Arabidopsis thaliana: one gene and its partner. The protein of the gene in region 1 purifies or fractionates together with the protein of each later gene. This does not show direct contact. Each region holds a gene or a part of one and is shown on either strand. Other genes may lie near its edges.

Region 1 (6,403 bases):
ACCTATTTATAATAAAAAAGATTGAAACTTACGGAAAATATAATACAGTACAAACTATATATGTCAACTAAACTAAATAACACTTAATTAAATGATGTATATAGATTGCATAACCAAGTATATAATATTATATAGTTAACATTATAAATATAAAATTTCATGTTAAATAACCAATTAACTCTAACGTCAACCGGTGTTAACCAACAAAAATATTCAAAAATAAATTTTTACTTTATTTTTAATATTAAAAATCTAGTTTTACTAGTTATTCTATAATCAAAAAACAATTTTTACATCTACTATAAAAATATTTTGCATATATATTTAATACATTGATTCTTAAAATATTTAGCTTTTTTTAATTTCAAAACTAAACTAAAAATGAAAAAAATGATTAAAATTTTTAAAACAAAAAAAAAACTGAAATTAAAACCAGAAAAATCTTATTAGAAACATATGAGTGAAAGAATCTTTTTTTTGTATTATCAATTAAAATATATAAACTTCTTTATTCATTAGAAAATAAATCATTACAGAACCAAATACACATGACTATATAAGTTTCATAAGAAAGTAATATGAAAAACAATTGAGTATATAACTTTTTAGTCTAAATTTTGCACGGTAATTTTTAAATTCAAAGTAAATGTTTTTTACGAATAATATAAGAAAAAACTAACTATTGATTAAAAATATTTAGCAATTAAAAATTTAACTTCTTAAGAAACTAACTATTATTATTATTATTATGAATAGTTCATATCTTAAAAAAATATTTATTCTCTTAGTTTAGTTTTGAAATTGAAAAAATAAAGTAAATATTATATGAATTAATGCATTATATATATATACAAAATATATTTATATTGGATATAAATATATTTTTTTGTATTTTACAATATCAAATAACATTAATTTTTTTAATACTAATAATTAGTTTTGAATATTTTGTTGGTCAATGCTGATCAACGCTGGAGTTGGTCGACCATTTAACCCGAGATTATATGTTTATGATGTTGACGACTTGTATAATCATACAATCCATATATGTTAAGTAGTTGTATGTTTTTTAGTTTACTTGCATTTGTGGCCAATTGTTGAGTTAGCTGACAATATTTTTTTGAAATATATGTATGATGTCAAAAATATTTTATTTTTTACAAATTTTCATTGTAATATTCAAATTAGGTAGAGACAGATAATATAATAATATAGATATTTAGAAAATTATGATTTTCAATGGAAATGAAAGTACAGACTCATATTTATGACATTTGTTTAAAATAAGTTGGTATGTAAATACTTTTGCTGGCAATTAATATCTAAATTTGTCAGTAATTACTTTTGTCCAGACCACAATAAATATTCGTCTCTATCCAATCCTTGCTCTTCGTGTTTATCACGCGCTATGTTAATTTATGACGACACACAGTTCACTTCGTTATAGCAACGCCGGCACGCTTTTCGTTGTTGGAAAACGGCAAACAATCTGAAAATTAATAAAATAAAAAAACGAGAAAGGCTTTTGGAAATTAATAAAGTTCATCGAAATACAAATATCTCTTCATCTTTTCTCTTTTGCTCATTTCCCAGAAACCTTTGTTTCATTTGCTTCGTGTGCGATCGCGAGAACAAGGGAAAATTAGGGTTTATATCCTCAAGCTTTTTCGAACACCATTGATCGTTGATCTAAGATTTTTCTTCTAGTCGAGTTTCTTAAGGTCTGGCTTCATATCTCTCTGTGCATGGTGTCGTTAAATCTATGCAGCGATGTCCTGTTCGATTTCATTTTGCTTCTAGGGTTTAATGATTTGTGCATTTGTTCGTTTTAGGGAACGATTCTTCTCAGCTTTGTGTTACTTCATCGTGATTTTGTTTTGTTACTACGAGTCGTTTCTATTTCTTAGATTATTCGATTAGCTGAGGTTTTTTGAAGATTCTTCTACAGATAACTACTTCTCTCGAATCGATTTGCATTTGTTCTTCATTTTTAGTATTTGGATTTGTTGACTCTTTCTCTCATTTCTTACATGCATAGCTGCAACTTATTTATGGAAAACGAACTTGTTCGAACTGATATTTATTACGATATCCAGGGGCTTTGATCAAACTCAAAATTGAAGACCAATACTTTGAAGGATTCTGGTAAAGCTAAGCAACTATGAGTTCAAATTCATGGGCTGATGTTTCTGAATCAGAGAGGGCACCATCTGGTGGTGGTTGGGGTTATTCTCGTCCGTCTCGAACCAACTATGTTCCTCCACATCTTAGGAGCCGTACACCATCTTCGGAGTTTGTTGCTCCTTCACCTGGTAATAATGATCGTGGGGGATATGGTGGTGCAAATAGTGGTTATGGTGGTCGAGGCCAAGGTTATGGTGGTCGAGGTTCGGGCTATGGTGGTAGAGGAGGTCCTGTGGGCGGTTGGAATGCCAGAAGTGGAGGTTGGGACCGTCGGGATACTGAAACTAACCCGTTTGGTAATGATGGAAATGCAGACCCGGCTGTTAACGAGCAGGAAAACACTGTCATTAACTTTGAGGCCTATGAAGATATTCCCATCGAGACAAGTGGGGATAATGTGCCACCTCCTGTTAATACATTTGCAGAGATAGACCTCGGAGAAGCTCTCAATCTAAATATCCAGAGGTGCAAATACGTGAAGCCGACCCCTGTGCAGCGTAATGCAATTCCCATATTGGCTGCAGGAAGGGATTTGATGGCTTGTGCTCAGACAGGCTCTGGGAAGACAGCTGCCTTTTGTTTTCCGATTATTAGTGGGATTATGAAGGATCAGCATATAGAGAGACCACGTGGAGTTCGGGGAGTCTATCCTCTTGCTGTCATTCTCTCACCAACAAGGGAATTGGCTTGCCAGGTCTGAATAACTGGTATAATATCATAGTTTATATGCATTTGTTGATCACATGAAGATTTCATGAAAAGACATCTCTTTTATGATTTTTCTGCAGATACATGATGAAGCCAGAAAGTTCTCCTATCAAACTGGAGTGAAAGTTGTGGTTGCTTACGGAGGAACACCAGTCAACCAACAGGTTTCTGTTACTGTTTTATAAATGCTTCATTTTCCACGCCTTATAGACTCTTGTGTATGTGTGTGAGAGAGAGATTACTTGTGCTTTTCCAGGCTGTAATTATACTTTAGTTTTTTGGTGCGCCTTGTTAAATTTTGTTCTGACAGTTGCTTTAGCTCTTAGTTTGGATGATGAAATGTCCTGGCTGTTCTTTGCTCTGTAACATACCATTACTCCTCTCCTGTATATGTGGGTTTATAATAATGAACAATTGTGTCCTTAAGATGAAAAGCTGCAGGAATCAGCTACATTTCATGATAGTAAGTCTAGTGCTCTTGCTAATTTGTTCTTGTTTTGCTGTTGTACAGATTAGGGAGCTTGAAAGAGGAGTTGATATTCTTGTTGCAACTCCTGGGAGATTAAATGATTTGCTTGAGAGAGGTAGAGTCTCATTACAGATGGTAAGATTCTTGGCACTTGATGAGGCGGACAGAATGCTGGACATGGGTTTTGAACCACAAATCAGGAAGATCGTTCAGCAGATGGACATGCCTCCTCCTGGTGTCCGGCAGACAATGTTGTTCAGTGCTACATTTCCTAGGGAGATACAGGTTTGTGGAACTCGTTCACATGCCATTTCTATGTTTTCTCCTTACCGGAGAAGATTCTCAGCTATCTCTATCTTCAGTCTTTCTTGCTCTGTTAGTGTCTTCATTGTTATGGGACTACGTTATTTGGGTCTTTTGGGTCTCCAGTACAATTGTTCTGAGAATTATTATCTTTTAAATCAACTTGGATAAATCTGACCGAGCACTTATCCTTAACTTGTGTAAATGATCTGATATTTGCATGGAGTGAGGAAGAATATAGCGGTTCTTATGTTAGTGATATGAAAGAACAAGATAGCGATTCATTTCAATGAAATTTAATATACTTGGGAGTAAGAGGGAACTAAGGGTAGCTGCTTGTTGTAGGTCCGTGATTGTTCTATAACTGAAGAAAAGAGTGAGATTTGGTAGGTCTGGGAAATGAGAAGGATGATCGGTACATAATCTTGTTTTCCTTTATTACTGGAGGGTTCAATTCGTTGTCTAAATAATGTTTATTGTTTAAGTTGACACTACCAAAATTTTGGCTCTTAAAATTACAAGATAGAAGTTGCGTACTGTGCAGCAAAGGAATCTTTTACATTCCATATGCACTTAATTATGATTTTGTTTTTGTGTGCAGAGACTTGCATCTGATTTTCTTTCAAATTACATATTTCTGGCTGTTGGAAGAGTGGGTTCAAGTACGGATTTAATTGTCCAAAGAGTAGAGTTTGTTCATGATTCTGACAAAAGAAGCCATCTAATGGACCTTCTTCATGCCCAGAGGGAGAATGGTAACCAAGGAAAGGTAATTTAAATCAATATGATTGGTTTCATGGTTAAAAGTGAACATAGTCAGTACTATTGCTCCTTTCGGTTTCACGATTCTGTTTCATTGTCTCTTTGTTCTATTTGATGCATTGTTGTTCAAGAGCACCTTTACAATCCAATTTATTTTATTCTACAGCAAGCTTTGACTCTAGTTTTTGTGGAGACAAAGAAGGGAGCTGACTCTTTGGAGAATTGGTTGTGCATCAATGGTTTCCCAGCAACGACCATTCATGGTGATAGGTCACAACAGGTTAGTGAGTTGTTGATATCAAAATTAGGATATTGTAGAGTATTCTTCAGTGCAACCAAAGCTAAAACCTTATTGTATTTTTTATGCATACAAGGAAAGAGAAGTGGCACTGAGATCATTCAAGACTGGGCGGACACCTATTTTGGTTGCAACCGATGTGGCAGCACGTGGTCTTGACATTCCGCACGTGGCTCATGTAGTGAACTTTGATCTACCAAACGACATTGATGACTATGTCCACCGTATCGGACGAACAGGACGTGCAGGAAATTCAGGACTAGCAACTGCTTTCTTCAATGACAACAACACAACAATGGCCAAGCCACTGGCTGAGCTAATGCAAGAAGCTAACCAGGAGGTCCCTGACTGGCTGACTCGATACGCATCTCGTGCTTCATTTGGAGGTGGTAAGAACCGGCGGTCTGGTGGACGGTTTGGTGGTCGTGACTTCAGGAGAGAATCTTTTAGTCGAGGCGGTGGTGGTGCTGACTACTATGGTGGAGGTGGTGGATATGGAGGCGTTCCTGGTGGTGGCTATGGAGCAATGCCTGGTGGGTACGGACCCGTACCAGGTGGTGGATATGGAAATGTTCCGGGTGGTGGTTATGCACCTTATGGTAGAGGTGGTGGTGCTTACTATGGTCCTGGAGGATATGGAACCGTTCCTAACCAAGGGTATGGTCCTGGAGTGGCTAGTGCGTGGGACTAAGCTTTAACTTCAATTCTTCAAGAACCGATTATGTTCTCTTTCTCTCTCACTTATCTCTATTGTTTATTATTAGGGAGCAGCCACAGATGTGTATGTTTGCTCTTTAAATGGTTATGTAGTAGACACGAATCGTCTCTTTGTTCAATGTGAAAAAAGAAAACCCCCTAGTAGACCCATATTATTCTCATGAGCTATTTAGTCATACAAAGCAGTTCAAACATTAAAATTGATCCAAGGAAAAGAAAAGTCAAAGGGTTTTCACTATATTGAGGATCAAAATGAGATATAAAAGGAGGTTTAGACAGAGCCACACAGGGGTCATAATAAAGAATGACCAACTTCATAGAGTGGTTTGCCTTACTCAGAATCCCTTTGAATCTTTGTGTCATCTCTATCACAGATTTGGTAAAGGTTTCGTCTAAACAGTTGATGTCATAGTCTGATCAAAGAAGAAGATCGGAACAAAAAAAAAAAACCTATCTGTAAGCAAATGATGGTGGGTGGTGAAGGCGGTTAACCGCGTCTTGTCCTAGGCGTGCATCGAAATTCAGCTAAGAGAGCAATGTGATTAGAAGACCATTCTGGGGAAGGAAGAGCTGTGTCTTTTCTTAATCCATCTTCATCCAGTAATTCCAATAGAGATTCCACCATTAATGTATCCGCTGAAACCCAAACACAAAAAAATCTTCCAATTAAGTTAACTTGTTATTTCTGATGTAGTTGAAAACAAGGACAATGGAGTTAAAAATGGTGAAACCTGTGTAGAATATGTAGTCATGAGTGCCGATGAAGTCCCTTGTACAATTGGTAAACAAAGGCTCGTTTGTATTAAGATCTATTCTCCTTCTGTGTTGTTCCAATCCAAGACCCATTATTCCCTTTCTCACAAACGATGAGTACGCGCTCACCTGAAACCAATTCATTTATCAAATATCCAAGAGAGACGCAAAGATAAGCGGTATAAATTTACTTAAATCGAAAAAAGCAA
Region 2 (5,477 bases), on another chromosome or scaffold:
TCGCGAGATGGTAAAGGAAGCTTGAAGAATCTGGAGGAAGAAGAAAGAAATTACAAAGAGAAACTTGGCGGAGAAGAAAGATAAGAGAGATAGAGATGGTTTTCGCGGTTAGAAGAAGAAGGTCACCACCATGGGCTAGAGCTTGGAAAGAGTAGAAACGAACGACCGAGAGGTTCAGAATCAGTTGCGTCAACCGATATGGGTCCACCTTTACTCCTTGTTTTTATTTTTATTTATCAACATTTCATTTTTCTTTTTAATTCACAGATTTTTAAAATAAATCACGAATATTAATTTTTTGGTATTATAGTATAACATGCAAATGTGGTGGTGATTTCTTTTTAACTTTTTCAAAAAAAAAAGTTGATTTATAAAACCAAAATCGAAAAATACACTACTTTATTTCAAATTCAAAATTTTTTTGGAGAAAAGTATTGAAAACTTGTTAAAAAAGTGTTTATCGAGTAATAAATTTAGAAATTTGGTTAAATGGTGTGTGAGTGAAGAGTAAAACCGTTCTATACCTTCTACCTAATTTCTGCAATAAGTACACTTAAAATTAAAACCGGATTTCAAATTAAAACAGAGCAACTGACATAAGCAACTTTTATTTAATGGTTTTCTAACTACATAACGTAAGAGACTTGAAGAAACCATCATAAAAAGTAGAAGTGGTCATAAAAATTACATAAGCGTTTTTGATAAACATCAACAACAACTCCTAAAAAGCCTAAGGAGACAAAATAGAATAAGAGACACAACAGTCTAAAAAAAACACGAGGGAACAAAGAACAAAGCTGCCTACACAGATATGGACGATGGAGAGAGATGGGAAGCATGAACAATGGTAACATCCTAATTCACTTTACAGACATTACCCTACCTCTCCTTGTTGTTTGGTTAGAGACACAATCATCATCATCAGTTCATCACATTGTTCTTTTTGTTTTTCTCCTGCAAACACCCTTATAAGATTAAAAATTTCATGTAACACACAACAAGTAAACCCACCACTTGCTAGCTTTTTATGTCAAGGCTTTATCTTTAGAACAGAGCTTCTTGCATTGCCTCTGCTTCTGTCTGTCCTTGACCCTCTGCTTCTGGTTCGGTTTCAAGGTGTTCCTCGTCTGGCAGCTGCACTTCTTCCATGTGCTTTGGCTCGTTTGTTGTCTCTGCTATCCCTTCCAGGTCCTGTATGGCTTGAACCACTGCTTGATTTCCACTTCCTCCTATCTCGGATTTCAACACAATTACAATATCCTTAGCTCTCGCTTGCTGCATAAATGAGATATCAAAACCAAGCATAAGCAATTAAGTATCAAAACCAAGGACGGACCATATTGTGTTTCTGTTCATTAGATTACTTACAAACAACTCAAACTTCTTCTTCAGTTCTCCATAGTCACCATCTTGTCGTCCAGAAGCTCCCACTGACACCGCATTCTATGTTTATAAATGGCAATAATATAAATGTAATTAGATAACTAACTCATCAATATAATAGACAAAGAAATTCTAGTGGACTTGGAAATACACAAACTCTTGAACTTTGACTGAATTAACTAAATTTCTGCTTAAAACAGACAAAACTTGATAAGATGTCTGTCTCAAAAGATAAGTTCATATGTAATTCTCACACTTCAACTGAACAATTATTGGTTGCTAAAGCGAGCCACCTACCAAGTTGCTCTTGATTACCAAACAAAGAGATATCTTAGATTAATAGTACACCACAAAACCAGATTAAGTATAGGCCAAAAGCAGAGACACGAATATAAATTAAACTCTAGAATTTATTTAGTTAGATACTCTCTAGTCTCCACACACACGCTCGAAAGAGACAATGTTGAGAATGGAAAGTGACATTTATTCACAAGACAAAAGTTCCAACTTTTATTCTCTTATCTATTTGACTAGAAATATTCAAGTTCTCTATAATCACTGTGTAATCGCAGAGACAAAAAGGAATGATATTTTACCTTTCTGGGTCTTCCTACGGGTTTTCCAGTACGAGCAAAGCTTCTCATCGGCTTCATAGGCTTCCTGATAACACCTCCAATCTTAGGAGGCCGTCCTCTTCCTCGTTTCTTGACTGCAACCTCCTCTCCTCCACTCTCTACGTTAGTTGGTGGTGGTGGTGGTGGAGCAACAGAGGAAGCACCACCAGCGTCAACTCTCTTTGGTCTCCCTCGGCGTCTAACACCACCATTAGCAACATACGGGAACACTGAAGCTGGAGCTGAGACTACTATAGGCTTTCTCTCCCTCCCAGCAGCTCTTCCACTCGGAGGTCTACCTCTTCGTTTCACAGTCTCCACACCACCGGAAACAGAAGCAGCTGGCTTCACCGTCGGCGAAGTTCCATCTTTTCTAGGACGACCCGGCGGTCTCTTAACCGGCTGCTGTGGCTGTAACGGTAACTGTGGCGGCTGTATCTGTATCTCCTCTGGTCGAGAGACAGGTAATTCACTCTGTTCCCAGGTGAGTTTTCCATTAGTCAGAGGTTGAGGTTGAACAACATCTGGTTTAGCTTTTGGAGGTCGACCACGACCACGTTTAATAGTCTGAGGAGTAGAAGAAGCCAAAACCGGATCAGGTAAAGGTTGGTTCTCGTTGACTATGAAATCAGATCTGGGAGGTTCAAGACTAGGAGCTACACTAGTAGGAGGAGGAGGAGGAGGAGTAGAAGCAAGCTTGTAAGATTTCTTAACCATGACAAGAATCCCACTGGTCTTCAAAGTCTTGAGATGGTGTGTCAACAAAGCTCCATGAGCAGTAGGAATCCCAGTGTAAATTCTCTCTATGTACCTCGAAATAGCTTGCTTGCTTGACCCATCTGGTTCGTTTAACGCTGCAATCGCCGTGCAAATCATCTAATCAACGAAAAAAAAAAGTGAGTGGAAATTAAAAACCCTAACTTTAAAGTCAAAATGTAAGAATGAGCTAAGAAGAGCTTACGTCAGAGTAAGGAGGGTGGGAAATAGATGGATGAGGAGGAACTGGAGATGTTTGTGGCTGCTGCGGAGGAGCTGCTTGATAGAGATGGATGTTGTTTGGCGGCGCGACGGCGGTGGGTCCGGTGAAGAAGGGGTGGTTTGGAGAGGCGAAGGGGTTGGTGTTGGTGAAAGGAGGGAAAGATGTGAACTGAGGAGGAGGAGGATGATGAGGATCATTGGTTGCAGAGAGAGAAGGATCCATGGAGGATTTAGTGAGAGAGAAAAAATACAGAGCAAGGAAGGTGATGAGATTTTTGATTTTTAGTTTTTTTTTTTTGTTTCGGTTGTTTTAATTTTTCAGATAAAATTAAAAAAGTTTTGTGGAAGGAGAAGATAAAAAATAAAAAATAGTTAGGTTGGAGGAGAGAGAGTGTGTGTAGTAGTGTAAGAGAGAGATCGAAAATGACGACAGATGAGATAGTTAAAATCTGACCGTTGAAAGTGTATTTTGGTGCTGATTTACGACACGGATCGATGACGTGGCGTTTTTTGCTTTTGTTATTAAAATTGAGTTTTGTGTTTCTTTCAATTTTTTTTATATGTTTTTCTGCTTCTCTATTCAAGTACCATATTAAACTATATGTAAACATTTTTTTTCTAATTCTGAAAGTTTTTAAACATGCTTTCATTTCTTTATACTAATAAATTTCTAGAACAAGATTTTTTATACTAAATTCTCTACTTAATATCGGTTTACAAAAAAAAATGTATATTTCTAACCAATCAGTTTTTCATATTCTTTATGTTTTAACATTTACTTGGATTATATGATGTGCACTAACACCTTCTTCATTTTCTTGATCACTATCTCACTCTAATTCAAAAAAAAGAAAAAGAAAATCTCCAACAGTTAAAAAGTGCTATTATAAACACGTTAATACTGTTTTAGGTAAAATAAAACTCAAATTTTAATTCACTTTTTGTTTTAAATTTTTAATAGCTAATTTTATTGACTTTTTGAAATAAGACACTTCGTTAAGTTGCTTAACGAAATAAATTTACAACGCTAAATTTTCATCGAGATTCTTTGTTAAACTACGCAAAATGACACTAATATGATTTAAAAAAATTAAGCTCAGAAAATATATTTGAACTCCTTATTCATTTTTCAATCCATATATACATAACCAATAAAGGTAAGTTGAATTTTTTCACACCACAAACATTCAAATTTATATTCTTTAATATAAACTTTCTAAAATAAAAAGTTTAGATTTAAATCACCATAGTCTAATTGGGTTACTCTCTCGTCATGGCTGATTTAAATTCTCTTGTATAGCCTTTTCATTTTGTGTTTCTTTCAACTTTTTGTTTTGTTATTCTAATTCTCTATTCATGTACCATAATAAATTATATATAAACAATTTTCTTATCTAATTTTGAAAGTTTTCAAAAAAGTTTTCATTTTTTATATTTAAAATTTTTCTAGAATAAGATTTATAATTTCATTATCTACATTTATAACAAATCATTTTTTCATATTCTTAATGTTTTAACATTTATTTGGATTATGATGAACATTAACACCATCTCATACTATGTCCTCGTAAATGGCACTTCCTATGAAAATTGGAAGCTTTCATGGAGAATTCGACAAAAGCGATGATTTGTCTTCATATATTTTTATTCTATGTGCAGAGATTTTAAGTCAACTGATCATCAAAGTTGAAACAAATGGTGGCATCGAGAGCATACGCATCGCTCAGTCTGTTCCTACGGTTAATCATTTCTTATTCGCCGATGATTATTTGTGTTTTTGCAAAGTTGCAAAACAAAAACTACTGGTTACAGTATATATATATATATATATATATATATGTGTGTGCCAATTATTATAAGTGTTCAACTCAAAAGGTTAACTATGAGACATTCTTAATAATATTTGAATAAAACGCATATTCATAGAATCCTAGAGATAACAAAAATTGGAGGAGGAAACAAATATTTGAGTTTACTAGAGCAATTTGGAAGAAAACAAACGAATTATTTGAGTTTGTGCAGAATAAGCATGACATCTAAAGGGCCAAGTCTCTATTCTTCACTTGAGATTACGCTAATTGGAGATGTTCAGGGATTCTATGGACTGCTCTATTCAGCCTAACGAATGATCTTAAGTCCAAATCTCAATAACTCCAAATCATTCTGTTACATATATCCGACTTCTACCTTTTGGGATGGTTTGGCGCATCTGGAAATTGAAAAACGATATAATAATGTTTAACCATAAATATTATCAATCTCATAGGTCTACAATGTAACAATGATGTCCACAAATGGATAAATGCCCAAGCTGACTAAAGTCAACAAATGCAACCAGGTCCACCACAACACAAAAATTTGGGCCGAATGTATCATTGATAGCAAGTTGAGAAACCTCTAAACAATGAATATAAGCAAGACACTACTTGGTGAACAAGTATATTACCTTTTAATAAGTAACTAAACAATATTAGCCTTAAATTCCTCAAACTCAATAACCAT

The links. Proteins that work in one complex are often made in the same cells at the same time.
Region 2: the proteins of AT3G58570 (region 1) and HON5 fractionate together in Arabidopsis thaliana (co-fractionation; one large-scale study listed by BioGRID). This does not show direct contact.

What each region holds. Positions count from the first base shown.
Region 1 is NC_003074.8:21,654,938-21,661,340, forward strand, and holds AT3G58570 (P-loop containing nucleoside triphosphate hydrolases superfamily protein), read left to right. Parts: upstream 1-1,546; 5' UTR 1,547-1,721; intron 1,722-2,096; 5' UTR 2,097-2,161; coding exon 2,162-2,878; intron 2,879-2,972; coding exon 2,973-3,056; intron 3,057-3,403; coding exon 3,404-3,646; intron 3,647-4,265; coding exon 4,266-4,433; intron 4,434-4,592; coding exon 4,593-4,706; intron 4,707-4,800; coding exon 4,801-5,415; 3' UTR 5,416-5,875; downstream 5,876-6,403. Other genes in the region: AT3G58580 (DNAse I-like superfamily protein), read right to left, coding at 5,929-6,077, 6,173-6,323.
Region 2 is NC_003070.9:17,973,104-17,978,580, forward strand, and holds HON5 (high mobility group A5), read right to left. Parts: upstream 3,561-5,477; 5' UTR 3,199-3,560; coding exon 2,959-3,198; intron 2,874-2,958; coding exon 1,980-2,873; intron 1,444-1,979; coding exon 1,369-1,443; intron 1,276-1,368; coding exon 1,045-1,275; 3' UTR 539-1,044; downstream 1-538.